2 linked regions of the Oreochromis niloticus genome follow. The protein of the gene in region 2 interacts with the protein of the main gene of each other region in a pairwise test. Links are inferred from orthologs where the notes say so. Each region holds a gene or a part of one and is shown on either strand. Other genes may lie near its edges.

What was found.
Region 1: the proteins of ercc6l2 (region 2) and si:ch211-127m7.2 interact in binary tests that used the Homo sapiens proteins (3 or more experiments, as listed by UniProt). The two-hybrid records come from large-scale screens. The link is inferred for Oreochromis niloticus from reciprocal best matches to the Homo sapiens genes ERCC6L2 and CYREN.

What each region holds. Positions count from the first base shown.
Region 1 is NC_031972.2:55,541,744-55,557,338, forward strand, and holds si:ch211-127m7.2 (cell cycle regulator of non-homologous end joining), read right to left. Parts: upstream 6,899-15,595; 5' UTR 6,736-6,898; coding exon 6,638-6,735; intron 6,563-6,637; exon of another isoform or gene 6,540-6,562; coding exon 6,437-6,539; intron 6,242-6,436; coding exon 5,921-6,241; 3' UTR 5,504-5,920; downstream 1-5,503. Other genes in the region: fibrous sheath CABYR-binding protein, read right to left, coding at 1,890-2,747; neto2b (neuropilin and tolloid-like protein 2), read left to right, coding at 14,500-14,539. UniProt on the Homo sapiens protein: Cell-cycle-specific regulator of classical non-homologous end joining (NHEJ) of DNA double-strand break (DSB) repair, which can act both as an activator or inhibitor of NHEJ, depending on the cell cycle phase.
Region 2 is NC_031977.2:22,934,446-22,950,713, reverse strand, and holds the start of ercc6l2 (DNA excision repair protein ERCC-6-like 2), read right to left. Parts: upstream 6,138-16,268; 5' UTR 5,856-6,137; coding exon 5,828-5,855; intron 5,490-5,827; coding exon 5,062-5,489; intron 4,946-5,061; coding exon 4,829-4,945; intron 4,669-4,828; coding exon 4,475-4,668; intron 4,281-4,474; coding exon 4,187-4,280; intron 4,009-4,186; coding exon 3,941-4,008; intron 2,520-3,940; coding exon 2,312-2,519; intron 2,174-2,311; coding exon 2,033-2,173; intron 1,650-2,032; coding exon 1,533-1,649; intron 1,448-1,532; coding exon 1,328-1,447; intron 1,248-1,327; coding exon 1,176-1,247; intron 1-1,175. UniProt on the Homo sapiens protein: Promotes double-strand break (DSB) end-joining and facilitates programmed recombination by controlling how DNA ends are joined in a spatially oriented manner during repair.

The sequences.
Region 1 (15,595 bases), on a different chromosome or scaffold from region 2:
AGGGTGAAAGGGAAATTTTTACTGGTGATAGTGTATACCCTGGCATTAAGCTTTTCCCTTCATTGATTTGTATTTCTGTTGAATTGGCAAAGTAAATGAGCAAATTATTGCTTATTTACATTTGCAAGTAAACCCTCTTTCAATTCTAAGCTTTTGCATATCAGGATATTTTTAAAAAATCATCTGGTCCTTACCATGTTCTAAAATTACTAAAAAAAAATACAACAACCTAAAATGAAAAACAACACAACATATTACACTATATTTATTTAACAAAAAGCTAAACTGCAGAAGTGGTATGTGAAAAACTAACTACACCCATGTAGCTTGTAAAACCACCTTTAATAACAATAACGTGAAGTAATCATTTTCTCTATGACTATCAGTCTTTCACATTATTGTCGAGGATATAAAAGACTAATACATGGCCTCACGTGAGACTCTAGACTGATGTACAGAGGAGTTCACTGTCGACTTAATGACTGCAATGTGTCCAGATCCTGTAGCTGCAAACTGAGCCCAAATATTCACCCCTCCACCACCGTGCACGTGGAGATATCCACACCTGGGAAGATTGGAAACCGTCTTAAATGTTTTCCACTCATGAAAAAATGGGCAATGCTCCAAACCAGCACTCTGCCAAAATCTCTGCTTTTATAGAGGTGCAAACGTTTGCTAATTATCAATTAATCAAATGTATTTGGTTAGCAGCACCTGTCGGCTGCTTTTCACACACTGCTTCTACACTGTGGTTAAATCTTGTTATGATGTAATATCTGAGGTTGTGGTTACCCAGTTTTAGGTTATTTTTTATGACCTGATAAATTAAACCACAGTATTGCAAAAGTGTGTGCTTTCTTTCCACATGACTGTAGATTAAAGTTTTAAGGCATTTAGGAGTGGCCTCTCATACCAGTCCTGACTACTCAGACAAGATTTTGGGATAGCAATGTAGTGTAAGCAAGGGGAGGCATGTGAGGAACAGATTTCTCATGGACTGAAATGCAGTCACACTGAAGACTTTTGACCCAGGCCCCATGAAAATCTCCTTCCTCTGGAAAGAATGTGGCTTAGTCTCCCCCCTTTCTCCTCCCTCCTCTGATGTCCTCTCTCCCACGAGACAGTGAGAAGCTCCAGTCCCTCTTAAATGAACTGGGATTTGCTACATAGATTTCTATTGCCATTTGCAGAGTGCCCCGTACATGTAGTATGTCAAACATGCCCCGAATATCTGCTATTTTTCCTCCCCCACAAAAATCCATTCCCAGAATCTTCAGTGTGACCAGATACTATAAAATATACTTTTGAAAAACAGGGAGCAAGATTGTTATGTGTAAATGCCAGTTTATTTTCAAAGGCAACTACTTGAAATTGAAAATTCATTTATTTTATTTAAAATTGCATAAGATGACAATCATTCTGATTAGTGGATTATTGAAAATGCCAAGTATTACTATGTTAATTCATAAATGTGTAGTAGATACTTGTAACCAGTTGTGGAATGCATATGCCGTTTCCAGCTGAAGTTGCATTCTTTGTCCTTTACATTTCTTTCATTAACCTTCTTTTCATTTTTCTTTTTGTTGCAAATTTTTTTAAAACAAAAAAACTGCTCAAATATATACAAGACACATTTAATTTCTGCCTAGATCTTCATAGATGAAGATCTCTGTCTAATAATGAAGTATTCTAGGTCACTCTTCTTTCCATCACAACACACACATGTACACACACACTGCTTTTCGGCACCTTTGGTTCATTTAAAATAAAAAAAAAAGGCTATATTAGCATTAATGTGGGCACTTAGGGTGAGACAAACCACTGTTTTTCGATCCATTCACAATTTAGATTTAGAGGGTTTCACTTCCTTCATGAATCCTCTGATTGATTTACATCAGCTCAGTAGATGTGCTCATGTCTGTGATGGGAGTGTCATCAGGGACATTGACATCTCTTGGAATGAGGTCACTGACAAGGTCATTTCCTCTCAGCTCCGAGTTCTTTGGGGTTTCACTAACGCTTTCCTCATTGACATCACTTCCAAGCTTCTCCAAACTCTCTTCAGCCTCCACCTCCATCGGCTTTTCCAGATGTGCTTCTGTTGGCTTCTCTGGCTCAAGCGTGGAATTGTCAGCAGCCTCATCACCATCTTGGCGTTCCTCACCTGCTGGGAGGTCTAATGGCTCGTCTGGATTGACTGGGACAGGGTTGGGATCTTGGGAGGGCACGAAATCAGGGGGACCAGAGTCGGTCAAAGGGGGCGAAGAAAGAACCAGTTCATGGAGAGACTCTTGTGTTAGTTGATCCGCCTGGTTCTCCAGATGCTCCACTGAGGCTGGTGCTGGCTCTGAGATGGGCTGGACTATCTCAATGTCTGGTTCGGAGTCAGGAGCAAGCTCAGCTTCAGCAGCTGGTTCTGAAGGTGAAGGTGTGCTGGCTGAGACCTGAGGTTCAGGTTGGACTGGGGCTTCCTTTACCACAGGTGCTGGTTCTGTATCATTTTTCAGGGCTGAGGCACTGGAAGCCTCTGCTTCTTTAAACTCCGCAACACATTCTTCATTAGGTAAACACGCCACTGGTGTCACTGGCTCTCCCACCACCACATCTAAATCCTCCGTTTTGGCGGCTTCGTGAGTCTCTGTTACTGCAGAGTCGTTTCCTGGCTCCTTTGTGGTGTTCTCTTCAGCAGCCACAGTTTCATGGGTGCTGGCTGGGGTTTCTCGCCTTCTGCTGAGCCTGTTTCCCATAATGAGCCTGTACAGAAAGTCAAAATAAATGTAAATGGATTTAAACTAATGCCAAGAGAGACGCTTATTTGACTGGTGGAAATGAAATTTGTGTGTTTTAGTACATTATGTTCTTCTTTGCACTGTGTGCTCTACTTTTTCTGAGATGTCTAAATATGTTTCTGGAGCGCCCAAGGACCAACTAAAGCTGTTGACTAAAGCACTTGTTTGATTAATTCTTTACTTCCCTTACCCTGACATACACAAGCCGACCACAAAAAACACTCTGGACACATCATGACGTGTGCAATCACAACTTTTGGCCACTTCATAGACTTTCACTAAACATCCCCTTACTTTAAAAGGTCAATTAAAGTCTGCAGATTCATTGTTGTTTTGTCTTTCTTAGATTCTATAAAATAATATGTTCCAGTCGCTTATGAAAACGAAGCATAACTCACATAACTAGTATTATGCGCTACTAAAAGAATAAATTTAAAAAATGCGAGCATAAGTTAGCCAGTAAACATTAATACTTGGTGATCGCGAAATGAAAAACAAGTTTCGCAGACGACCCCGCCTCCCTATCGCGGTGCTCAGACTGTTAAATTGTATCCAAATAGTAGAGGACCAAAAACACTGGTTAAAATGTCTAGGAGGATAATAGCATTTCACCAACCTTTGTACTTTTGGCGTTGCAGCAGGCCTAGATAAATATATAAATTTGCTGATGATCCCGCTTGTGGAGGAGACTGCTTGTTAAACCGCTCGAAGTGCGCACAGCAGAGAGGAGCTGAGCCCTGCACAGACTGCTGAGGCGCACATTCTCCGCGTCCACGGTGCGCGCTCCAGCGCACAACCACTGAACTTCCTGAACCAGATTGGCTTCGTTGCCCTTTCTCGGTTACTAAACGTAAGTAAACAACAACAAAAACGATAATAATAATAATAATAATAATTAAAGGATCTGCCTTACTCAGTCAAACTAGACATTCTGCCATTAAACTAGGCATGTTCACTGTCAAAGTTTTAAATGGAAACCACTAAATCGTGTGTTATTAAAGCCCTGGGCAGTTGTAGATTTCCTTTTAGAAAGCTTATGCATTAGTTGTTCAGTATAGTCATGATGACAGGAACATGAATACAGTTATATGACATAAGGCCTTCATATTGGGGAAGTAAACGTGCTGATCGGCTGACTGAGGCTGAACACAAAACCACTGACACATGTACTGTAACATCAGTGTGTTCTTATGCTGCAAGACAGTCAAACGTCTTTAGGATCTGTGGTACTTTGAGCTTCTCTTTTCTGCTCTGATATATATCATTCTCGTGCTTAGTTTGCAGAATGTTTGTTTTGATTCATCGCATGACTCTTTATTTAATCTACAGATTAGTGAGGATGTGGCCTGAGCAGAGAGTCCGATGTGCTGTGAGGAGTCCCTTGTGTCACATTCGTGGGATCTTTCTGCTTCTCCTGCTTGTCATGGTTCAGATGATGATCTCCTTGGTGCCTTTTGATGGTGTGTTCATTCACTCCGATAAAGTCCTCATCAGCCCCTACAGATTCTGTCAGATCCAACAAACTGGTGAATGGTCCTGTGATAATGTGCATAAGAGTCACCTGTACGAGCTATCGCAATCCCAAGGAGCTGAAGCTGAGACTTTATCTAAGCCACATTCTAACTCTGTCAGAGTAGCGGTTTACCTAGCTGTGTATTTTCCAGTGATTATTGTGGCGTTTGCCCTGATGGGCATGCATTCAGTCATCTCTGACAATGACGAACCTGCTATCTTTTGCAGCACAACTTTCCAGGTCGGAGCAGGCTTGCTCAGCCTGGCTGGCCTTTGTAGTTTTTTGTTTGTCTATCAGTCATATGTGAGCTGGCAAAACATAACCATTTGGTTCTATATCTATTTGGGTGTGGTGATGGAGCTGGCTATCACATCTGCACTGACCCATGTGTCAGGTAAGCGACTGAGATCACACTGGGAACGCAGCGAAATGCTTAAGCTCATCCCTGCTTAAATGCAAACATGAGCCACAGACTGTGCAGTTTAAAAAAGCGATTATGATCATATCACAAAGACCTTTGAGTGGTCCGTAAAAGTAGAAAAGTGCTATATTAATGCAATTACACACGAATCTGCTTTGGAGAATATGTTAATTGCTGTCATGATGTATTTAATGATAAGCTGTATCCCTCAACATGTTTAACGTGTCTTTTGGTGCTGTAATATCACTTTGTATCACTTTATCAAGTGGTTTATGAAAGCCAAGACACATAATGTATAACACAACAAAAAATCTGTTGAGTCTGAAATGTGCAGCTGGTGGATGCGTGAGTGGTACCCTAATTGTGCTGATAGCTATTTCTATATAAGCTATGAGGAATAAAGAATATATTTATTTTTCAAAGTGTGTTCTTATATCTGCTACCTCATATATTCAAGGAGCAACAGTAATGTGATTTCTGTAACTACAATTTCTAGTTACTTCACATGAATAACAGTATGCTTTAATTACACCCAGTTTAATGCAAAAGCAAGGCTTTTTTCAAGTTTCTCCCCACAGAGCAAGGGCACTTGTACTGCAACAGTACCATGCTCAGGGTACTAGCAGCAACTTGTTAGGTCTTCTGGTGGAAACATTTCTAACACCAAACCTTTGTGGTGAAAAACCCACAACTGCTGTCAGTTTCATATACAGTGTCATGCATGTGAAAACAAAAACCGTTGTGTTTTTTTTTCCTCATTAAAACCTTCAGTAAACCTAAAAAAATGCCATGTTGTCAATTTTATGTTGAATTAGAGTTTGGACCCAAGTGACAAAAAAACAAACACAACACTTAAGTAACTGTCACACTGTAAGATAAGTAGTTCCCCTCACACGAGGTGCTAGATGATACCAATGAAACATAGACTGAAGCGCTGAAATTTGATTTCAGTGCAGAAGCTTTGGTGAATTAATTACTTGTCTCCGTATGTAGTCCTGTGAAGCGCTGCTGGGATGTACCTCTCTGAGACATCAATTAATGGATCCGTTCTCCAAACTTTTTCTTTATGGATGAGCTGTGAGCTATGTGTCCTCAAGTACTGACTGGACTCTCACCTGAATTCGTAATTTAGGAAGCATTCCCCCAACTGACACTTTTCAGTTTAATGCAAAAACTTTTTAGTGTCAAATAAGTTAATCAGCTGAAAAAAATTTCCCGTACAAGGCGTAAGGCATCGCTGTCCTCTGCTGCTGTCTGCGGTGGTTCATTCGTCTTCCCAGCCTCCACATTCTCAACTGTTCCTGAACGCTGACCCTCAGGTGTTTGTTGCTGCGGGCTGCTGGTGTACAGTAATGTTTCCACCTCTGTAATGTCCAAGTCTGTTTCTGAAACATACGTCATGTCCAGATCTTCAGTGCAGTCTGATGGGGACTCCTCTGCAGCAACTGGATTTGCTGTCAGCTGTGAATTTGTGGATTTCCCCATCTTCTTAACTGTGTCCACTGCTTTTTGTTTACCCTGGGTGTGGGTGAAGGGAAGATCAAGCAAATATTAAACGACGGTTAAGAGAGTAACCCACATGTGATGATTAAGAGTTTAACTGCATACAGTAATATTGGATATAATGGACTGTGATGTTAAAACATCATTATATTACTTATATAGGGCATGTGGGGGAGGAAATCAAATGTTTGAAAAGAGAAACAGCACCACCTGCTGGCGAGTCACGAGTGTCAGGTCCTCACATGAGCCGTTTGTGAAATAGGAAACAGCTGCTTCTACCAGCTCTTGCTCGTTCATACAGTAGAAAGCAGACCTGGGAACATATCAGTGGATTGGGTAAGTTTAAAAAAAATTAAGGAGCTTTAAATGGGGCCTTAAACCGACCCCGATCGTGTTTCTTACGATAACTACCTGGCAGCTTTCCGCTTTCTCTTCAGTGGCTTCTTTTCTTGGCTTTTCTCCTCTTTTTTTGCCATCCATGAAGGCAGCGACCTGTGTCTTCCTGACATACCGCTCTCTTTACGTACGCAGCTTTACAACGCTTCCAAAGTCTGCCGCAACATCACGTGAAATGAAACGAGGCTAACCTTACTGTTTACAACACGGTTTGCACGAGCTCTGGTGCCGCTGACAACCCTAAAACAACCAATCACAGCAGAGCGTAACCGTGATGTCACGAGCTGACAGAGTTGCTAGCGACACTTAGCGGACAAGGATGTAATGGCACCATACAGCCACGACAACAAAGGATTAGCAAACGGCATTTTTTTTTTAGCGATTCAGACTTTATTGTCCGTTAGATGGCGGTAGAGCGCTACTTTTTTTTTTATTTTTCATCTAACGCCTGTAAGAAATCTAACCCCCACCTTCACCCACCACGCCCTTTGAGCTTAAAACTTTCTAGATTTGCTTTTTATTTCAGCACTCATGAATGAAGACATTATGTAATCTCACTGTCTGTCCCAGAGATACAATATCTGAAAGGACCTTGAGAAAATTTCTTTGACTTCAAGATTCAAAAGTCACAGTGAACTCACAGAACACGTGTTTTCCCATACTTTAGGATCAACAAAAATTCAAGTAAGACAAAATCGTGACATCATAACACTTATTTCAAAAAGGTTAAAGGCAAACTTCCCAGTAGCATCATATGATACTAACATTTTTTGCCCAACCTGAGTGGTGGGCAGAGGCATGAAAACCACAAGGTAAATTTTCAGTTTGAGGGTAAGTAGCCAGTGTTTGTACAGTATCTTCCATATTTTCCTTTCTTCCCCCTTATCTGACATTAATATTTTGGTACATGGTGCACTGTATTGTCAAAACTGATCTTGACACAGATTAAGCTGTTGTTCTTACTACTGAATCTGTTTTGAAAAAGGGTGAGAGTAAACCTGCTCTCATCTGTGAAAAGCACACGGCACCAGTACTGGTCCTGCCCACTAGAAGGCGTTCGGCCATGACCCCATGCTCATGAATGTTTCTGATTGCTTGGTCAGAGACATTCACACTAGTGGCCTGCTGGAGGTCATTTTGTTGCTCTGGCAGTGCTCTGGAGCAGATACTGGTCATGCTCATGACTTATAGATCTTCTACAGCTCTGTCCAGGTCTCTTAGAATAACTGTCTGTCTCCTGGAATCTCCTCTACGCTCTTGAGACTGTACTGAAAGGCACAGCAAACCTTCTGGCAATGGTACATATTGATCCTGGCAGGGTTGGTCTGCCTGTGCAACCTCTGTAGAGAGTAGTGACACTGACCCTAACCAACCAACCAACCAACCAACCAAACAAACATACAGTCAGCTTAGGAGGAGGAAAAACACATCACTGGCCTCCACCTTTAAAACCATTCCAGTTCTTTTGTTTTTGTTTTTGAGGAGTATAAATAAGTGAATCTACAAATAACTTAAAAAAATAATAAAACAATTCTAAAAGTGGTAGAGAAGAATGTGAACACTATTACGAATAAAACAATAAAAACATCAGTAAAAATAAACATCAGGAAAACATCATTAGCCAGTACTTAATCAATAAGAAATGTAGCTTAGCTGTTTCCACTTCAGTTTATGGTAAGTGGATGGCACTGATAGCAGACTGAGTTTGAAAGCTTACAGACGCACTTCAAAAATGCACCACTATCACTGAAAACCGTTAGTCTAGTGGCACATTTCTGTTAATGATCCTCGTGCTCCTCCAGTTAATACACAAATGCATGGGTCCAAATGTTAAATTATGTGTTCTAAAAAATGCACAGTTATATACAGTACACACAAAATCTCTGCAAATCTCTTTCTCTTTCCATATCATTGCACACTTACTTGTGCTCACATATGCTTGCTTTATTTTGCTGGAAGTAATCAGGATCAAAAGTACTGTTAGTGTGATTAAAAGAGTGTTATAAGTCTGGTCTAATCTAATTTCCAATCTCTTGCCCAGGACTTTCTATTGTCTCAGCTCTTCTGCAGATTCAAGCACAAAAAAGCAGACGTAGGGCGATCGTGGCTCAAGAGTTGGGAGTTCGCCTTGTAATCGGAAGGTTGCCGGTTCGAGCCCCGGCTCGGACAGTCTCGGTCGTTGTGTCCTTGGGCAAGACACTTCACCCGTTGCCTACTGGTGGTGGTCAGAGGGCCCGGTGGCGCCAGTGTCCGGCAGCCTCGCCTCTGTCAGTGCGCCCCAGGGTGGCTGTGGCTACAACTTAGCTTGCCATTACCAGTGTGTGAATGTGTGTGTGAATGGGTGAATGACTGGATATGTAAAGCGCTTTGGGGTCCTTAGGGACTAGAAAGCGCTATATAAATACAGGCCATTTACGTAAGCTAAAACAATAAATAAAATAATAGTAATCTTTATAAACCAGTACCACTTTCTGATTTGTGTCCTCCCACTTTAGAGATACAGTTAGATGCTTGTAGCTGTTAAAATGCAATCTGGACATGCTGGAGTGCTGATGACTTCTAGCCATGTGTGACTTGATCTTATGGGCCATCAGTAGATAATCTGTCCAGCTGCATGACACATTTCTTTCTCGCTCTTTCACTCTACTCCTTTCTCCTCCCTCTGTCCTTTTATCCTCTTCTTTAAATCACTGATGTTCTAAACAACCTTGTATCAGACTCTCACTTTCTGTCACTTTGTACACCAAAGCTGCCTTCTCTCACTCTGGCCTTTTAATTATGTCTCTAAAGCCCCTGCCTACAAGCGCTTAGGCTTTGATTACAAGGACCGGCTTTGTATGTTTGACTAAATTAAAAAGTGGAAAAAAGGGACACAAAAAGAAATCTCAAGGCAAACAGCATGTTAACAGCAAGATGTGTTCACAATGTAATTTTCCTTTAAGCTCTTAAGTTCATTGCATTTTAAGAAAAAAACAATAACCAGCAGCCTGAACTGGCAAGAAAAATCCTCAAAATCTACCACGATATTATTTTTATTTATTCTTACAGATGGCACTGAAAAGGGGCTCTTAACTAACAACAAACTGTATTAGTGACTCTAATTTGGAATAGCTTTTAAATCCACCAAGCATGAATTATGGGAAAAAAAGGCCACCGATAAAGCACGAGGGTTTCAGACAGCACTCTCACTGAGCTGCTTTCAATTTGTCACTTTTAAAACGCCTCACTAACCCTGTGCATGGTATTTACAACTTGTCATCATCATTAACTCAGTGGCATCACTGCAAAATCAAAAGAATCATATAAAAATGATTTAAACGTAAAGACACACGCATGCAAATCTGTGTAGACCCTAATATAGTATTGGACTCATCCTCCTCCAGGCTTGCTGCCACATCCACAGATCAGGCTGTGCTAAGAAGATTTCTGTTTGCCAATAGAGTAAATCTTGTCGCTGCTTTTCTAGCCTGCTGAATTTGTGGGTCAGACATGCCCAAAATGTGCTAAACTTGAATATCACCACCATGATTTCGTTAAACACTTTTTAAATGTCTTTTTCAGTAGTAACCCTCTTTTTTTAATTAATCACTTAATTTTTTGTAACATCTTCTTATATTAAATTTTCACACGGTAGATTTTTGTGAAGTCGAATCATTTTAAACAAACCTCTGGGGATGTCCTGTGATGTCTGGCACTGGGAGTTTGGAGTCAGTCAGACCGGGATCTGATGAGTTTTGAGGCTGCGTCATCATTGTGATCTCAGTCCTAGCTGTATGACGAGGTGCATTGTACTTTCAGAGTGCCATGGCGGGAGGTGGGCTGGATCTATAGCAATGTTTAGATGGCTGACACGTGTCAAAGTATCAGCCATACAAATGCCAAGAGTTAAGGTTTCCCAGCAACAAGGTGAACAGTGTTATTTACTTCACCTGTTGGTGGTTTTAAACTTGTGGCTCATCAGTGTAGAAGTGTAATTATATAATATCTGATTTTCCATAGGCTTGTCAATCACATGTTCTTCTTGCTCTAATTGGTATGAAGCAGAGTAATCTTATCGTAGTCTTCCTGAGATTAACCCTGATTTGAGTAAGGGTCATTGCCATTGGCCATCTGGCTCAGAAGCCCTCCTTGTGATTGGCCATATGGCTCCAGAGAGCAAGATTTATGAAGAGCAGAATGTTTAAATTGAATGAAAATTTTCCATTGAATGATCTTATCTGTTGGCACAGACACAACGCCTTCTCGCTATGGCATAGCTGTGAATTTGCAAATCTATACAGGACCATGAAAGAGTATGTTTGCAGGTCTGGCAATACTTAATGTAACATTTTTCTTTTTTTGTGTGCGTAGCAGAACACAAAGAAGAAAACCTGACACTTAAGGAAAAGCAGAGACAAGTTTTTATCTTTCAGGTCGCGTTTGGATGTTGCCACAAAACATAATGGAGCCAGTCATTCCCATTTTCCAAGTTCTGGATGTGTTTACGCGTCGGATGTGTGAATGCAGCCTTTCACTCTTTTTATTATTTGTGTTTATCTGCATATATGTATGTTTGATTGGAATTCATCATGACGTGGCTACGATGTGGTTTCCCACGTTAATCTGTAATTCCTTTTAACATTTTGACAGAAATGAAGGAAGAGTACTGACAACTTAAAAACACAAAACTGAGATTAAAGAGAAAAGGCTGTTTTTTGGTATATTTAGAACCAAAACTGATTTTATATGAATTTAGCCCTGTGATCTTCTAAAAGCTTAACCTATAGTTCTCTTTCCGACATTCTTTCTAATAGGGTCGTTTTTCTTGCCCTTCTTTCTTTCTCTAATCTGTTGTCATGTGGGCCTGAGATCAGTATAACGTTTAGTGTCAGCGCTTCGTGCTTCCTGATATCACATATGTCTAAATCTCTCTAGGAATGGGACATGTGTGTTCGCAGTCAATGGCTGGGTCTCCTGGGTCAACGTGACTTTGAACCTTAAGCTGGTTCTTATGTAACGCGTCATCTATGGGGATGATTAAACATCAGTTTACATTTCCGTGAAGATCAGGTTTTGGACTGACAGCTTTTAAATACCCCAAGAACAAAGAAAAGGAAAAGGTCAATTATGCCACAGGCCTGCTGATTAAAGATTTTTATGGCCCACACTAGAAGAGCAAGTTGGTCTCCTCGGCTGAGTGTAGGATTTAATGCCGCAGAGTGTGCGTGAGGGTGATTGGTTGTGACATAATCTACGGCTGTAACATCCAGTGCCCAAAGGCCGTAAAATCTCCAGAGCCAAAAAACCCCCCACTCTATGATGATAAATAAGGAGTTGCTGGGATGGAGTAATCCGTTGTTAAACTTGAGACTTGAAGGCTACTGTGCTGCTTCATCAGCAGTAATAGGCCAAATCCATTGGGATTTCCTGTCAATCACAGGCTCGTGGTGGGATCTTAATAACTTTCCCTTGGAAGCTGATAAAACTGCCTTTTTCTTTTTTTTCGAAATTCATCAATCTGTTGTTTATCATGGTGACACGCAGACATGCAGCTCAAGGAAACAGTGGCATAGATTCAAAGCAAGTCCAGGCAGCGTGTTTCTGTGGCAGTATTGTGCTTGGAAAGGGTTAAAGATCCACTGGAACTGCTTTACCCTGTTGTTACATGTTCCTGTTGAATTCCATGAAACGTCCTTGTGTGTAATGCATGACCTTAAAGATGAACCTGTCCATGATAGCTCATTCAGATTAATAAAACTGCAAAATTGTGCATGGGCTTGTGCCTTTTCATAATGAGAAAAGAAAGGCTAAAATGAGCTAAAGTTGATTTCACCAACTCACCTGGCTCACTCATCCGTGTACTCTGCAAATTGAAGATGCTAATTTCCTCTGTAATCACACGCTCATAAGAGCAATCACTTGCCTCGTTGAGACTCTAGTCAAAATGCTAATTAAAACTCACAGCCCTGCAAACGAACAATTTAGAATTCATTATCCTCTTTTGTGTGTCTTCTTCAGTTTTGCAGTTTTGCATCTAATTGTCAAAACACTGTGATGTTGCAAAAAATGTCAACATTCCAGCTGGACTTTATCTAATCTTACTCTACAGCTGTTCAGAGGGTGCTATGACTGTTGTCATGCTGTTCAGTCCACATGGAATATAGATATTCAGAGGTTGCACAGGCAAACCAACTCCACTAGGATCAATATGTACCACGGTCTCCCAGCACATTGTCTGTCTGCCTGAGCCCTACAAAGACAACCTCCAGCAGGCCACTGGCATGAATGTTTCTGACTAAGCAATCAGAAGAAGACTTCATTAAGGTTGACCTGTGGGCCCGATATCCTCTAGTTGGGGACGTCAGGACCCCCATTGGTATTTGCCATATTTGCCAGAATTGGCAGGTCCATAACTGCTGCCGTGTGCTTTTCACAGATGAGAACAGGTTCACCCTGAACACATGTGACAGCTGTGAAATGGTCTGGAGAAGCTGTGGAGAACATTGTACTGCTAAAGGAATCGATACCATTGACTGGTCTCCGCGTTTGCCCGGCCTAAATCCAACAGAACACCTCTGGGACATTATGTTTCGCTACGTCCGACACCACCAGGTTGCATCTCAAACTGTCCAGGAGCTCAGCGATGCCACAGCCCACATCTGGGAGGTGTTCCCCCAGGACACCATCTGTTGTCTCATTAGAAGCACTGATATTATCAGGCATGCATACAAGCACATGGGGGCCATACCAGCTACTGAGTAACATTTTTATTTGCTGTGAAATGGACTAGCCTGGTGCATCATTTTTTCACTTTCACTTTCAGGGTGTTTTTGAAATCATCTGTCTGTAGGTTGATCGTTTTCATTTTCATCAGTTTCTGTGGCGTCCTGTAATTCCTAACACATTCCATATCATTAAATATGCATTTTTTTTTCCTATTGACATGTGATGTTTTTAAAGTATTCCTTTATTTTTTTCAGCAGTGTACTAAAGAACAGATCCCTACTCTTTACAGGCATACAGGCTCCTTCCTTCCTTCCTTCCTTCCTTCCTTCCTTCCTTCCTAATGTTTTAAAAATAAGAAACACTTTGAAACAAGAAAAACATTCCAACTTGTGTTTTGTTCTACTTTTCTATTCAAAAAGTTCAAAGCAGGCCAATAAATTTCACCAACAGTTCTTTACTGACTGTCCCTGAGCTTTTTGTAATCTTCCTAGGCGGATGCCCATTTTTCATGGAATAGCAACTGTCTGAATATCCTAGTTTTGAGCATTTTGCATCCTCTTGTCCACTTCAGCGTGACAATGAGAACAAGATGTGATTGTGTTATCATAGAAAGTGTCTCAAAATGTGCTGTGAATAACAGAAGAAAACTTGTAAATACTATATTTGTTTTAAATAGTCTATTTCGTAAGCTCATTGATAAGTTAATGGAAGATGGAGCCCACACATGCACGGCCGGGTTAAGAATGATTTTATCGAGTAGAGAATCAGAAAGCTCTAAAAGCTGAGAAAAATTACAGAATTGTAGTAATGTGAAAGGAAATCAGAAAGATTGAGTATTACTGAAGTAATACTCAACATTACAGTAACTCACAGGGGAATAGAAATCAACAGTACTTCTGCTTGCTTTTCTCCTTCTGGAGCAGCAGCACACCTTTTGTTCCACTTTGATCCCCGTCTCTGTCAAACCCCCTTAAACCTCTGCTTTCTAGGTCTCTGATTACCTCAGAAGAAGCAGCCAAGACTAAAGTCTGGTTGCTATGGTAACTGATGTGGATTTGAATACCCTTGATGTGTGGTGAAAGTGTACCTGTATGTGTACTTGTTTGCATGTGTTTCAGTGAACGAGCAGCAGGCAGAGGACCAGAGGACTGGCTGTGAGTGTAACAGCAGGTATGCGTGGACACTTTGAGTTCAGACTTCACACGGCTCAGGGTGAGGTGGAGTTTAAGCACTCTTTCTCAACCGAACATGCGCCGATAATAAATGATTCACGCAACACCGAGACAACACCTTCACTTTATAATCAGTCAAAGGGGAAAGTGTTGTTTTCAAACACAAGCCCAGAGGATGCAGCTTTGTGAAAGTCCACATGTTGTGTGAGCGAGCGTTTATCTCCTGCTGACTTTCTTACCCACCTATTAAATAAGTATGGTCTTTGGCTTTGGTTTGTGTTGCTCTGTGGTTTGAGGCGTGTTTGTGAGGCGTGTCGGCGTGTTTTTAATCTGTTGTAGATTAGCTTTCTAATCTCTGCTACCTAGACTTTGGAATAGTCTCCTGCTGTTAAAAAGCATTTATTATTTAACAGCTTTCTGTTGAGATTCTTATTATTAGTAACTGATTGTGCTTTGTGACTTGTCTTGTGTCTGCAAAAGGCGCTTTACAAATAAACTTCACTTGCTTACTTTTTCTCAGTTTAAAGATTTGATAGGTTTTCTATGGGCTACTGTGGAAAAGATACAGGTTAATAGGATTTGCGGATCACTGAGTTCTTTTTTTATTCATGTCTTATACAGCATCTCACCTTTTTTTGTGATTTTTTTGTGATTGGGTTTGTATAGTACTTGAAACTGAGGCTTTTTTGTACTATTAACTTTGTACCATAATAGTTTTCCCACATGATTAAAAAAGCTAAAATTACATTAATTCAGCTTGAATGTTATTAAATAAGCAATATTGATCCAATGATTAAATACATATTAAAAACTTATACTTTTATATGTTATTACTTATAACAAGTAGAAGTACTTTAAACTGTTGATAGTAATTATATTTTTACTTAAAGAAATTTCCCTGTAGCTTCTGAAGGAAAGTCTGAGGAATATCCTCCAGTATCAGATTAAAAGTATTCATAAATGGTATAACAACTTAATATATTCAGATTTGTCTGCTTCTTTGATTGGTTGTAAACATGCATTGAATGTGAAAAACAAGTAGAATAGGGAGGTTTTGATACAACTGATCAACTGAAGGGAGAACTGGCAAATGTCC
Region 2 (16,268 bases):
TAAGCCTATGTGACCGTGTATTATCAGACTGCTCTGCACTTTAATCTCACCTACATGATAATGACAACAAATCTAAAACTATTAAAAATTCAACGAGTAAACCCACTCTGAAACTAATTCCAGAATTATAGCAGACGCAGCAGCATTTCAACAGAACCTCACAAAGACGCCTGATGTAATCCTGGAGAGAGTGAAATTAAACTGAACAGAAAGCAAAAACTATAATAACTGCTGATTGATATACCTGAAGCTTAAATGAGCTATACTGTATCAGGTGACTACAACCATTAGACTGCAGTCTCAGTCTAATTGTCTTCACCACAAACTTATAAATAAACATGATGTAATGAGAAAACCACATCCTATAAGCAATTCATTTAACAGAAGAAGCGATTAGCCGGGTTCAGGCTGCTCCTTTGTTCAATTTAATTTTATTTGCATAGCACCAATTCACAACAACAGTTGCCTCAAAGTACTTTGTATTGTAAGGTGAAAACCCTACAATATTAGAAAGAAACCCCAACAATTGCACAACCCCCTATAAGCAAGCACATTGCAACAGTGGGAAGGAAAAACTCTCTTTTAACGGAAAGATTTAGAACTGGTTTCTCAGGATCACTCTGAGACATGATGATATTTTGCAAATGAAGGAAGGGAGTCCTATATTTGCACATGCATATGTGTTTAATATGCATACAGAAGGACATATCCTGGTCACAAAGAACTCCAAGACTTCTCATAGTGTTACTTAAGGTCACGTTAATGCCATCCAGAATATCCGGTTAGACACCATGTTTCCAAGATTTTTAGGATCAAGTACAAAAACCTCAGTTTTGGAAGTAGGAAATTAGAGGTAATCCAGGTCTTTAAGAAATGCCAGTAATTTAACTGGTAGATTTGTATCATCTGGCTTCATGAAAAAATAAAGCTGGGTATCATCGGCATAGCAATGAAACTGCACAGAGTGCTTTTTAATAACACCGCCTAAGGAAAATATGTATAATGTAAAAAGACCCTGTTGAACTCTAGAAGAAAACTCCTGATTTACATGAACAAATTGGAATCTATCAAAATAGATATGACTCAGTATTTAATTCACTCCTTGCACAACATATAAACCTTCAATCACACATCCAAAGTCACAGAAACACAAAAAATGCAAACGCAGCTCTCACCTTGGTTGAGAGAGAAAAAATAAGCACTTTATCTCTCTTTTGTAGATAAAATTTGAGAAGCTTCTGCAGCACCTAAAAGAAAGCATAAACCTGTTAACCCCCTTTAGAAACCGCCAGTGAAGAGATCACACACAGCTGTTTTCGTGCTTTACCTTCATTTTTCCACTGTACATTGGGTCTGACAGGGCTTCAAATGCTTCATTTTTGCATCTATGCACAAATTCCGGAAACTTCTGGAATACCTTTGCACAAACAGCACTCACATACTTTTCCTAAAAATAAGTAGAAAAGTCATTTTAATGAACCAAATCTTGAGAGAATCTATCCAAAATCATGTGCAAAGAAACACAACTCTACCTGTTTCTTGCTGGTGCCTGGAGTAGACTGAAGGAGTGCTACATGGTTCGCAACCTTTCTCAATATGGCCAGGTAACTAAAGTACAGCTCCTTCATATGAACACCATCAGTGTTTGTCTATGATAGAAGGAAAATATTATTTAATGTAAGAGACAAAGCATCTTTTTGTTGATTTTTATACATGTGATTTTTATGCAAAAGCATAAAGTTTCCTTTCTGTTTTAATGGGATCTATTACTTGGTGTATTCTAGCAGACTATAATGAAGTTTAAAACAGTTACTTAATGAAAAAAAAGATCAGGCACCTTCACAAAGACACTTTATATAGACTGCAGTTAAAATAAATTGTGATATTTTGATGTGATACGTTAAAGTGGGCAAAATAAAATGTAAACAAACAAACAAAATATCCAATAAAAGTGAGTTTGGTCTCAACATATAGAATCAAGTTGTGCTCGGTAAATTGCAGGGACACACGATAGCAGAAGAGAAAAACGAACTTTATAGCAGCAGCTTCTGCGGGTGCGTCTGCTGTGACAGTCACATTTTTCTGATGACCTTAGGAGTAATGTCACATCTTCACTGTCGAGCACTGCCTGATACACTGTCTGCTGAAACTCTGTCATAGAGCAATACACCACCTTGGACGAAACACAACACATACATAAGCAATTTCCAAAAAAGAGAAGGTAATTAAGTCAAATAAATTTGATTGAATTAAAAAAAATGTAATGACAGTAAATGATAAAAGTGTTGGTCACTCTGACATCTAGTCTTACCCGGTCGTCCTTCTTGGGCAGCTGTTCTTTGATAATAGCTTTAGTCCTTCTGAAGAACCAATGAGAAATCTTCCTCACCAGGGCTCTGACGGCCTTCCTCCCTGTAGCGAGAGCACGTTTGGTTGCGCTGTGCCTCTGCCCTTGCTCAATTGGATCTGAAAACTTGTTCTTGAAGTGGCCTAAGCTATCAAGACAACCTGGTATAGCCCTAAAGAGAAAAGTAAACATAAATCTGAATCCCTGCATAGAAGTTAAATAAAAACATAATGCAATTCATTAAATTTAACTGAAAATGGGGCAAAGTCTACATATTAAAGTAAGATTTTTAAAATGTGCTAATTGTTGAAGAGCTCCATCACATCTATGATGGACTGATGTAAAGCATTAAACGGTTCCTGTTAATGATGAGACCAGAGGCAAGCATTTGTGGAGGTATTAGTGCCCATCTCTGCACATTGATGGGACCATTGATGTTGAACAGTCACAGATGTTTTTCAGGGAAGGCTTATTTCAGCAGCATGATGCCAACCTACATTCTGTTTGCATTAAGGGAATCCAGGTGCTAAAATGGTCTAGTTAAAAATGCCTTCTTTAGGCTGCTCTTTTTAGGTGTCACCACAGTTGAGCATCTAACTACATCTCACGCTGTAACTAGCATGCTGCTCTCCAACACCAACCCTCTGCATGTCCTCCTTCACTACATGTATGAATCTTCTCTGTGGTCCTCTTCTCAACCTCCTACCTGGAAGGTGCACATTCAGCATCCTTTGTCCAATATATACATTATCCCTGCTCTGGATGTTCGAAACATCTCAATCTTCCAACTTTGTCTCGAAACCGCTCAACCTAAGCTAAAATATCTTAACGTCTTCAGATCTGCCACCTCCAGCTGTACCTCCTGTGGTCATTAGTGGTGTCATCTCCAAATAAGCACACAGCAGGTCTCAAAACCATCTTGTAAACCTTACTTTCACACTTGCTGCAACATTTCGGGAACACATCACCCTTTACACTCATCTCCACCCTCTCCACCCTGCCAGCACTCGCTTCTTCACTGTTGTGAACTATCCATTGCTTTGAATGGTTGATCCCAGGTATTTAAATTAATGCACGCCACTACTGCTGCTCTTTGCCTGTCTGCCTGCTCACTACCCTCACTACAGATTGCAATGCCATCTACAAACGTTATAGTCCACAGAGACTTTTGCCTGACCTCATCTGTCAACCTGTCCATTACCATCACAAATAACAAAGAGCTCAGAGCTGATCCGTGATGTAATCCCACTTCCAGCTTGAACTCACATTTCACTGGTGTCCTCGTACATGTCCTGCACCAACCTCATAGTTTTCTCTGCCACTCCTGATTTCCTCATGCAGTACCACAGTCCCTCTCTTGGCAGCCTATCATGGCCCATTAAAAACACTGCAAATTATGAAACAATAAAAACAACAGAGGAGGCCAAGAAATGTTGAGCAACTGAAATCCTACAGTGGTCAAACACTTGCTGAGGGCTGTAAAAAGAAAGGGTAAAGTGAAATAGCCTCCCATATCTCAACATGTTCCCGACTTGCACTGCTTTATGCCTCGCACAGTTTTTAAAAGATAAGAAGGTTGTAATTTTAACCCACCAATCCAAAACACACCACAGCTCCTCCAGGTTGTTCTGTAAGATGGTTCCAGTGAGACCAATTCTGACCTAATGGAAATACAAAGTTAGAATCCTGACTCAAAGTTGAGCTTGCTAAAAAGTTTAGAAATTAATGTGTAGAGCCTCAAATACAAATACACTTTCCACTATCAGATATTTGACACAGACTCATTAGTAGTCCATACTAAATACGAGAATTCTGAAATAACAACACAAGCTCTCTAACCTTACATCTTAGCTCCTTCATGGCCTGAGTGATCTGAGAGTCTGGATTTTTTATCTTGTGGGCCTCATCCACAACCACAGCAGACCAGTCAATCCTGTAGGGAAGAGGCAAAGGTATAATCTAGGGCATAAATAGATAGGGCAAATTTATTTACGGCACAAAATTGATCTAAAATGCAACTAAGGTGCCTTAAAAATAAATAAAAACCAAAATAAACCATTTCTTAAGGAGCCTAATTTATAAATAGTACTAAATGTACTATACATGTTTTTTAGGCGTGGGTCTTACTTATTAAACTGATCCAGGCAGAGACGAAGAGTTTCATAGGTAGTGAGGGCAATTTCAACTCGCCCCTTCCTAATGCGGGCCAACTCCTCCTCTTTCCTCAGTCCGTGGACCACCACACACTGGAAGTGACCCCATGTGTCCAGCTCATCTTTCCAGTTATAAAGCACTGACAGCGGGGCCACAATAAGGAACACCTTAAACAGAAATGTCGTAGAAATGTCAAAATTGTGACTGTGATATTTCACTGCTGTCACTTGTTGCACTTGGTCAAATACATAGTGTGTGTATTTTTCTTGAAAATTCTGTTAAAACACAGGTCACATTTCTATGTAAGCAAGCTTAAAAAAAACCTACTTTGCTGGGATTACTTTGCTTAGATGACTGCTGACTCTGCAGAAACTGGGGCCTGTTGTTTGCAATGTCCTCCCATGTGCCTGTTTTGTGCAATACAGCAGCCAGAAAACCAATGACCTAAGGTAAGATCCAAGAGACGACAACAACGAAAAGGAAGAGAGCCACAGGAAGCCAAATTAAAAACAAACACTGGCACTTTAACAGTTCTCACAACAAAATAATGTGCTTTGTACCTGTACAGTCTTTCCCAGGCCCATGTCATCTCCCAGGATGCAACCTCTGGAACGGATGTAGTTATTGTAAATGAACCTGATACCTTCCCGCTGGTAATCTCTAAGGTATCTATTGATGGTATAGGGAACTCGGTCTTCATGAGCATCACTCAGCTCTAACGGGACACATAACCTGGGGTCTATCAGGCTGGTAGGAAACCAAGGTTTCTCCTGCATGAAGTCCCTCAAACCAGGTCTCATAAGTTTTGAGATAGGTATGGCTTCCGCCTCTTGTTCTTCCTCTCCCACATCTTTATTAGTGTCTTTAAATAACACCCATGCTGTATCTTCATTAAGAGAGCTGGAGGTCAGTTTCTGGATAGTGGCTTCTCTCAGGACACCATGTCTTGGGTGTAGAGCCAGACAACTGTCACCTTCACGCCATTCTGCTGCAAAATCATGGTGACATTATATTTATTAATGATGTAGATGTATTAAAGAATTTCACATTAACTCCAGTCATTAAAATGAGTGCAAATTTAACCTTGGACAAATATAACACTGGCTATAACATATAACAATAATCTTCGCAAATACTCTTTAAGAAATGGGTCAAAAAAAGGAAAGAAATTTCTTTACAGGAGGGAACATTTACCACCAACTGCTAAAATATGGCTAATCACTAATTTGTGAAAGTAAAACTGAACGTAAAAGCTACTTGATAGAAATATAAACATTAGCTACGGAGAAAACAGACAGAATAGGAAGAAAAACAGAACAAAAATACCTTTTCCGACTGCAGAAGTTGAAGCCATCAGGAGGAAACAGAGACTGCACTCTCTGATCTTCTTCCGGTAGAGGAAAATGCACTGTAGCTTGTTAGCCTGCTAGATTAGCTCAGCCATCATATACAAAAAAGGAAAATGGTTAAATAGGAACGAAAAACCTATCTGTGTGAGTCACGTAATTCCGAGTAAGTCGCTCATACTTTCTCCTCTTCCAAGAGTCCTTTATTTGGGGAAAAGGCACAACAGGCTCACAGCAGGATCAGCTCCACTGCAGGCTGCCTAGTGTTTATCTGTTTTCACAATCGATACCGCACTTTCGACAAATTTCACCGACGAATCTAAATTTAATAAATGTAAATATAAAAATGTCGTTTGTGCAGCTTTGTTGATTTGATTTAAATAATATATTAAACATTGTCTGGTTTAATGATTCGCTCTATTTCATCTCTTTAACCATGCGTCTCTCTTGTGTGGAAAGTGCTGTGTGAGTCTAAGGTGGCTTAGGTGGAAGAGCGGGTGGTCTACCTATCTGCCAATCAGAAGGTTGGCAGCTCAATCCCTGGTTCCCTCAGTCCATCCTGTGCATTGATACTGAACCCAGAGTTGCCTCTGATGTATCTGTGTGGTGTGTGTGAATGAATGGTACAGTAGATAAAAGTTCTGTATGAATATGTGTGTGATTGAGACTTGAAGTTGTAGGTGCTCAAATTGATAACAAAGGTTTTATGTACAGTAAGTACATCCTGCAAAGTGCAGAGGACTTTCATTTAACCCAGTGGTCAGCCCACCCAGCTTCTCATGTGAAAGGACCTTTAGACTGGTAAACTGTCCAGGGTGTACCTTGCCTCTCACCCTGTGATAGCTGGAATAGGTTCCAGTCCTGAATTGGCTAAGTGAAAAAAAAAAAACATAGTAAATGGACTAAGACTTTACTCTCACTTGGCTCCACTTGAGTGAGGATGTGTTTGTCCACAGATGGTTACTGATCATTTGTTGGCCTTATGCATTGAGAACCTACATATTAGCAGTGGAGCTGGTTGTAGATTTTCTGTAAGAAACCCCCCCAAAACAGCAGAGTTTGTACTTCCTGACAGTGATGAAAAGTTTAACCTGCCAAAGAGGATAATGATGCACTTTCTCCATCTCTGCCTGGTACCCTGCTGGCATGATCATTGACAAAAGCAGATGGTGGCATATAATATGTTCTCCTAAGAAGGCAATTGCTGCCTCCAGTTTCTACATGACCAGTACACCTGCAGTATCTGCTGGCAGCCAAAAAACCTTGTAGCTGAGCCCTCTTAAATCAGATGCAGACTTTTTGTACATGTACATGCCTTCTTGAGCAGGGGGAACTTCCATACGCTGCAAAATTTTAATCCATTATAGCAGGGGTGACAAACATAAGGCCAGGCGGTCAGAATCAGTCTGTAAAAGGATGCAATACAGCCCCCTGGATGGCTTTGGAAAATGTTAAGGAGGGCATAAATTTTGGACTTATTTTTTAACTGTACTGATAAAGAACTTCCCCATGGCTATTTATACTACACCAAATTAATAAATAATAGTTAAATATTTAAAAAAAACAGAACAGTCTAATATAGAAATTTACAGTGAAACAATTAATTATATAATTATTATAAGTTAACTAAATAAAAATACATTCAGTGAAATAAACAAAAAATCCCTTTTTCTGTCATTTAACACATTTATTTCTTACAACTTAATCCCAAAGAGTTGTAGTGAATGATTTACTACAGAAGCATTTCTTTATCGTGTACAAAAACTGAGACATACTGTTGAAATTGTACTTCTTTTCTTATGTTAGGATATCTCATAACTAAATGTCTCAGGATTAACCTTCTTTACACTGAGGGAAAGGAGAGTTTCACTGGTCTGGACTTAAAGTAGGCTGTATGCAGCAAATGATGTAAAATGAGTTTTACATCCCTGCATTACAGTGTAGTGTGTTACCAGTGGTGTTGTTGGTGACTGTGGTCACGACTGCCATCAGATCATTAACAAACTCCTCCCATGTAGTTTTGGGATGATCCTCATCCTGTCATGATTATCCTCACCCCGTGAGGTAAGATCTCAGGGAGGGGGTGTCCATCTGCCATGACTGGCTGGGGCTAAGTGGATGAAGACAGCACAAAGACATGCTCTGAAATAGAGCCATAGATTAATGATAAGTAATAGTTAAATGCAGAGAGGTCTATAAACACATAGTGAAGTGACTGAAGAAGAAACAATCAATGCATCATGGAAATCCCGGAGCAGCTTAGACCTATTGCAGTGTAACTAAGTGAGGCCTCGGGGTCACCTGATCCAACCCTAACTATATGCTTTAGCAAAAAGGAAAGTTTTAAGTCTAATCTTAAAAGTAGAGATGGTGTATATCTCCCAAATCCAAATTGGAAGCTGGTTCCACCTAAGAGGGGCCTGAAAGCTGAAGGCTCTGCCTCCCATTCTGCTTTTAAATACTCTAGGAACAACAATTAAGCCTGCAGTCTGAGAGCGAAGTGCTCTAATGGGGTGATAAAAGGTCATTAAGATAAGATGGGGCCTGATTATTTAAGATCTGTTATGTGAGGAGCAGGTTTTTAAATGAGATTTAAAATTGGATTTAACAGGCAGCAAGTGAAGAGAAGCCAATTTAGGAGAAATATGCTCTCTCTATCTAGTCCCTGTCAGTACTCATGCTGCAGAGATTCTGGATAAGATGAAGGCTTTTCAGGGTGTTTTTAGTACATCTTGATAATAGTAAATTACAATAGTCCAGGCTAGAAGGAATAAATGCATAACTAGTTTTTCAGCGTCACTCTGAGCCGGGATGATTCGATATACAGGTTGAGATCAGGAGTATCTGTGATTGATTGATTGGCTGATTGCAATCATGGCACACAGCCAATCTGTGGGAACAATAATTCTGGCTGAGTTTTAGGGATGGGACTTATTTCCCTCAATGACATGCAAATCAGTTTGTAACTTTTATGTAAAGTGTTGTTTTTTTCTGGATTTCTCCCTCCACTAAAATCAATCTTCTTCACTCACCTTTTCACTCACTCTGTGTTTATACACCACTCTGGATTTAATCATTAGTTATTATTATTCATTATTGGCTTTCTTCCACAGCATGTCAGCATGCCTCTTCTCCATAACCCCAACCAGTTACAAAAGACGGAAGCCCTTTCCCGAGTATGGTTCTGCCAGAGGTTTCTTCCTGTTAAAAGGAAGTTTTTCCTTCCCACTGTCACTCTGTATTATTGTGGGGTCTTTACCTTACAATATAAATTGCCCCAAAGTAACTATTGTTGTGATTTGGCACCTTATAAAAAAAACTGAATTGAATTGAATTGTCAGCATTTTTCACAAGTCTGAAAAGTCCCAAAAATCTGCCAAGAAGCCAGAAGCATTTGAATGAGTGTATGTTTAATTTAGCACTGAGTGTGTCTGCTAATAATGTGCTAATAATGTGAAATTCTGATTGCCTATGGGATTTGTTAAACAGATATGTCTATGGGGCTAGTTGAAACTTTAACATTTAGATATCACAGGCACTGAAGACATTCTTAAATAGGAAACAACAACATTGTCACATCAGCCAATATTTCCCATTAAATGCCAGAATACCACACAGATTTGGTCTGTTGAAAAGTAAAACCAAGACAGATGTCTTGCCTGTTGTCTGAGGCTGATATGGTGGCAATCAGTAAGATCTCTTCAAGGTTGTCTGTTGCTGTGCAGAACCGGCTTGTAAACATACACCAACATTATCTCAGTTCTCCATCCCCAATTTGATTTTCCCAAAACGCCGGCCATGCTGCTCCAGATGAGGCACGACTGGGTCCGCTTCTTGCCATGGTACACTGCTATACAAAAATGGAACTTTTTGTTCCTGCTTTCTCAACATTGGGAATTTATAGGGCAGCTGCTGCAGATGTTCTCATAAAGAAAGCCCAAACACTGATGTCAAACGGTTTACATACTCCACTACATCTCACACACACTTGTTCTCTCACTAAATCACAAGGACCTTTTCTGGCCCCGTTAGAAATTCACGACTCAGACAGATAGAGTTGAGATAAATAGATTACTGGCTTCTGGCAAAACCTTCTCATTTTCAAAATTGACTAATTGACTTCTTTGAGATATTGTGCCAAGTGCTGGATATTGATTTTTCATTTCTGAAATCAGTTGATGGTTTTCAAACTTAGCTTCTTCTTGATCAAATTGGAGGAGAAAAAAGATGTATTTTATTTTATCACTGCTCTTTTTTATGTTGGAAAAACTTGATAGAGAGCTAGAATTTATAGCAGCCTTCTTGGGAGCCTACCTGCCTTCAAGAAAGCCCATGTTGTCTCTGCTCGCCTTTCAGCTTGAGCCAGCTCTATAGCCAGACAAACTCTAACTTGAATATGGGTCCTGATTTCTGAACTGCCAAAAAAAGAGAAGATGGAAGTGGTCAGATCCAGCACTAAAATAAAAATAATAAAAATGTGAAAATAAATAGTGGCAAGTGAAACAGTGTGCATAGATTATTCATTCAGGTGTGCAGAGATATTAACTCATTGTAGCCACCCATAAAAATGTATCTTTATCTGGTGCATAAATGTACATTTATCGGCTACTGTTGTACTATTTTTTGTGTTTATATCATTATGGAAAAAATGCAACACCAAAAGTTGTGATTATAAATCTCTCATACATTATACATCACCCAATAAACCAAACTATAGTAAAATTCCGAATCTATCTAGCTGATCTAGAAGATATTTACTTATGTATGAGAAGTAACATGCATGGTGGTATTTTTGGTCTACTGCAGTGATCTCTCCTGAAATGTGACTAAATAGAAACTAAACTAAATAGAAAAAAAATTCAATTTTGCAAAAGTACACTTAAGTAAAAGTGCAACGAGTTAGTTTTCACTTCTGTTAAGTAATGACTTTGTGTATAACATTCTTGCTATCTCAGCTTTGTGCTTTCTTGAGATGAATATTTAACATTTTAACATTTTAATCTCTAAAAAAAAGAAAGGAAATATGTTCTAATTTATTCTAATTAGGTCAGAGTGTTGCATTCTCTTGCATTCATGGTGAAATTTCCCCACTGGCTTTCCTAAGAACCTACCTGTATTGACTTAAGAACATGCACTTTTGTGGACGAGGTGTTTCCTGCAGCAGTAGCTTTAATCTCAGTCGGATTTATTTGCTTCAGTTGAGGTTTGATTTGAATAAAACAGCGTTGGACCAGACATGGGTGAAACTTCTGTCGTACGTTGTAATCAGCGCCTAGAAAGACCTGAATGGAAGTCTTGTCCTGCGCTCGGGAGCTTCGGAAACACTCCTGTGTTCCACGTCCTCTCTCTCATGAGTCAGAAAGTCCGCTATGAGCCAAAAGCAATTACCACTGTGCCAAAAATGACAGTTTCAACTTCATAAGCACTGATTGCACAGACGGAAAATTAGGTTGATAATTCATGCTTTTCTCTTCGTCGTAGTTGTTTAATTCATCTGTTTAATTCATTCATGGTATAAGTGTGTCCTGCAAAAGCTGAAAATAGTTTAATTTAAATTAAGTAAGATGTCTAAGAGCAACATATCCACAAAGCTTTAATTAAATGAGTGTGGATTTTTAAAAAAGATGAACATTTCTGACATGTTTTTACTTTTTTTTGTACCAGTTGCATTGGTTTCATAGTAATGGTCTTTTGCTGCAGAGCTAATCTTTCTCTAACCATTCACGGTAGTATAATTCTAGGAAATGATCTTACTTTTATGAAAACTTTCTTTCAATTCCTCCAGTTGTCCATATGTACTGTTCAAATTAATGAAAAATATCAGGAACTCCCTGAGGTAATTTCTTTAAACTGGCCACAAAAGGATATTATACAGAGATTTTAGATGTGAATAGCTAACAAAACATCTTTCTGTCATAATTTTTTAATGCTCACTCTAATTTTGTACTACTACAAAATTTCACAGAAGTGAATCATTTTAATTCAATTCAGTTTTATTTATATAGCAGGAAACACAACAACAGTTACCTCAAGGCACTTAATATTGTAAGGTATAGACCCTACAATGATACAAAGAAAACAGAGAAAAACCCAGCAATCATATGATCCCCTTTGAGCAAGTGCTTTGGTGGCATTGGGAAGGAAAAACCTCCTTTTAACAGGAAGAAACCTCTGGCAGAACCAGGCTCAGGGAGGAGTCGCCATCTGGCATGACTAGCTGGGGTGAGGGGAGGAAGACAAAAAAATCATACATGTACAAATGGTCAAAGGAGAAACTTTACTGTGACAAATTTAATGTTCCGCAACCCCCCCGAAAAACTTCTTGGCCATTATTCAACACCATTACTCAATTATTAACATTTCATAATGTTCATACATTTGGCTGGATACAGATCTTGGGTTCCCACTCTGAACCTGTGGTGACTGTACAGATCTTTTGTCTATGTGCTATTCATTTTAAATATGAATACATGAATATAAACTTTATTTTGACCAGCGGAGGAGTTCTACAACTCCCAGGCAGTAATTGTAGTTTTGAATACAGTTAATAAGATAATTTGCATCACTGACTTCTGACGTGATTACATCCTTAGAGACTGCACCACTCCAAATCATAGGCAGTATGCAATTAAGACTGTCATCTATGTATTTATATTGTTTTAAAGATGCCAGGATGTCTCAGAATCACTTCAAATTGTGTTGTCACAGCTGCAATTTTTTGAAATCCACCCATTATCTTGTCATTGTCTCATTTATCATTATAAATGTAAGAGCTAGTCACTGTAAATAGTGTCCATTTAGCAAGGCTGGAGACAAAAGTGCTGTAGTTCTTTTTAATAAAGTTATATAAGGCTTGAATAAACTTTAAACATTATCCAGCACGTCTCATCCAAACTCCTTCTGCTCTCACACACTCGCTCCTCCAAAAACTGATAATTAACCTCCCTCTAAATGTCAGAGTGCTCTCAGGCCTGCGACCACACTGAAACGGTAAGAGGTAAATATACAAAACCACTTTTTGTCATTCTGATTTCATAAGTGGAGAATCCTTCAGCCTCTGTTGAGCAGTTTGGGGCCACAGACAGATGATGACGCAACGTATTCTGCTCAGCAAATTGATTTACAACGTAGAAGCCTCTAATGACCCGAATTTGATGGCTGGTCCCCTTTGTCCTGCAGTGAGATGGAAAACTCTGCAGAGCAACATATTTACAATCACACTGCCTCTCATTACACTGCAACCCCATAGAAGAGCCTTTTGTTTGTCCTCTTTGGCCACACTACCAGAAAGCCCATCAACCAGAAAGTATAACTGACTGTGGAGTCTGTTCATGTCTGTGTGTGTGTGTCCTTGTGCTTGTGTAGTTGGCATCTTGCTACAAAATTCTCCACAGGGCCTTAAAAAAAACAAAAAAACAGCTGATTAGATCGCTGACAACAAGAGTGTTAAACTGCAGGACAGAAACGCAATGGAAAGAGGGAAACGCGTCCGATTTCTGCCTGTGTTACTCCACTCTGGTAATAATCACACTCTTCCTGCCAGGCATATTGGGCAAGCATGGACTGTTTGATACTGAAATAAAATAACTGGACCCTAGACAATATTTTCCCCACTTCCACTCTTCTGAACCACCCCTAACCCAACACTGACTGCAAGTCAAAGAACTGCATGACTGCACGTCTCAACAATGAGGCCACACAAAAAGCACAGATTCAGCAGAACTGGATGTCCATTTCTCAGGCGTTTAAGCATGCAATTATGCTCCCCTTTGCTCCCCAATTCACAAACAGGATTAGGGGGGAGTACAACATGGTATCTGTAGTAGTTCACTAAGTGCAGAAGGATCTGTGGAGACACTGCTATCTTGATTGGCAGGATTTTAAAGTTGTTGCACGTGAAATACCTAAGGGCTTGCGTAGTTGTGAGATTTCATTTGCGTGAGAGCTGGCAGTTTCACGCATAGTTGTATTTTTATGTATCTTGTGTTAATGTACTGTGTTTTTGAGTTTTTGAATATCTGCATGTGTTTATATATTTGTATGGGTAGGCTGCGGGTAGGCCGTGCATCCATGCATCTAGTCCACACATATTCACCATATGGGGTCCAGAGGGGCTTTCAGGGCCAGGCCAGGCCAGGCTTATGGACCATTTAGCACACATTGCTTTCTCCTTCATGGCTACACTGCATTTCTCCTGATACACAAATCAGAGGTGGAAAACTTCACAGTGAATAGAGAAAGACTCCACAGAGAAAACAGGATCTAACGAGAAGGATATACAAATCTGTACTTATTGGAATACCAACACATTTTTCCATTTGCCTTTTATGCTGGTTCCTTGATACTTTGGGATATTCTCTATTTAAATCTGTCAGCAGTACTGCGGGCAGTTAGTGTGACCTGTCGAAGCTGACTATTGTGAAATGTAATCATATACCCAGTTAAGAGAAATATGGCCTTGGGGTAGTATAGCATATAGTATAGTAGTTTAGCACAGCCATTTCACCTTTTACTTGAACGCAACAGCTGATTTAAATGTGTCCAAATGTACAGTGGACACATTTAAAGGATTTTTAACTCATAACTCATATAAAATGAGTAGTACATATATTCTACTGTATGCCACATATTGAGTTGAAAAAATTTTTTTATTCAGTTTTCTTGATTTGAGGAAACATTTTGAGATTCCATTAAGAAATCTAAATGCAGAATGAGGCTGTTAAAAAACTAAGTACACAGTAGCTTGTAGAACCTATGTAGCAGCAATAACTTAAAGTAATCATTTTTTTTCTATTACTTTATCATTCTCTGACATCACTGTGGACAACTTTTGGCCCACTCTTCTTTACAATATTGTTTCAGTTCTCTGAATTTGCATCATGCACAGCTCACTTAAAGCTGTGCCACAGCATTTCAGCCGAGTTGAGGTCTGGACTTCGACTGACCACTGTAGCACCTTGATTCTTCATTTTCAGTCATTCTTTTGGAGATTTGCAGCTGTGCAGGGACGTAATTTCCAGGGGGGTTAGGGGGGTTATGACCCCCCTTGCATAGACAGGCTGTTGATTTTCTTTACTCATTTCAGGTATTACCAGCAAAATCTATTTTGCATATTTAATCATGCAAAATAGTTGCATGTTTATTCATCTGGGAATTTTGTTCAGCACAAAGTTACGCCAATGCAGCTATGCTTAGGTTCGTTGTCCTGTTGCATGACACAGTTTGGACCAAGCATTAGCAGTCAGGCAGATGGCCTCACATCTGACTCTAGAGTACTTTACAGTATACAGAGTTTATGGTTGACTCATTGAAAAGTGCCAAGGTTGCAAAACAAGCTCAAATCGTTACCCCTCCACCACCATGCTCGACCGTTAGTATCAGGTATTTGTGCTGATACGCTGTTTCGATTCCACTAAACAGGGTGCTGTGGGTACTTGCTGTGATTAATTTATATTTTAACAACAGATGAGCGTATAGCCTTATTTGATGTCAGAAGTGTGCAGACTGTCTAAAGAAAATCATTTTTGGTAATTTTGGGTTCACTATGTGATGGTCTTTGGTTGGAATGCACTTAAGTTTGTAATCCAAAGATGTTATTTAATTTAATGAGTGCCTGCAGTTCAGTGATTTGATATTATTATCACGATAAGTCATTTTCTGCCCCCAGAACAGCTTAAAATATATAATTCTGTAACATTAAAACAGGGCACATTTAATCTTCTTTTTTTGTTGTTGCTACTTTTCCATATCTCCGCTCTCCTTTCATCCATCCCTCACTCTTCTGATTTGTCTGTGTGCGGTCTAGAGACATTGTAAATCCCCAGCTCATGCATGGTGCCACCCAATGCGACGTTTAGGCCTCCTTATCCACAGTATCAGCCCAACCAAGTCAAGGTCATTTATGCCTTTCAAACTTTCTCAAAGAAGACTTAATGATCTCTTTCTACATATATAAACAAACTGTATCTGTACACTCTGATATGCAAAAAACTCTAACTTATCTTTCCTTGTGGAAAAGTTAGCTATGTTAATACAGTTTTTAAAATTTTCCTGATGGATGAATACTCTCACAGTCATGTAAGATAACTTACTTGTTATCTATTTGTTCCTCTCAGTCAGTCATTGTCAGTACACTAAAGATCAGCAGAAGTGTTCATAAATGTTATATTTTATATGGAATTTATTTTAAATTATGTGTCCCTCCGGTGTACGAATACCTAAAGGAGCATTTGTGTTGTTTCCTAATTTACTTTTTATCCACTAGAAAAATCCTTCTTCATATGACTCGACCATTTCTTTCTTTTTGCCTGTTTTGCACATCCTCTCTTTTACCTGGATGTTCCAAAAGTGACTACTATGCAAGCTATGGCATTAGACACAGATGGTGGTGACAGAGAAGGGATTAATCTCATTCAGCTCTG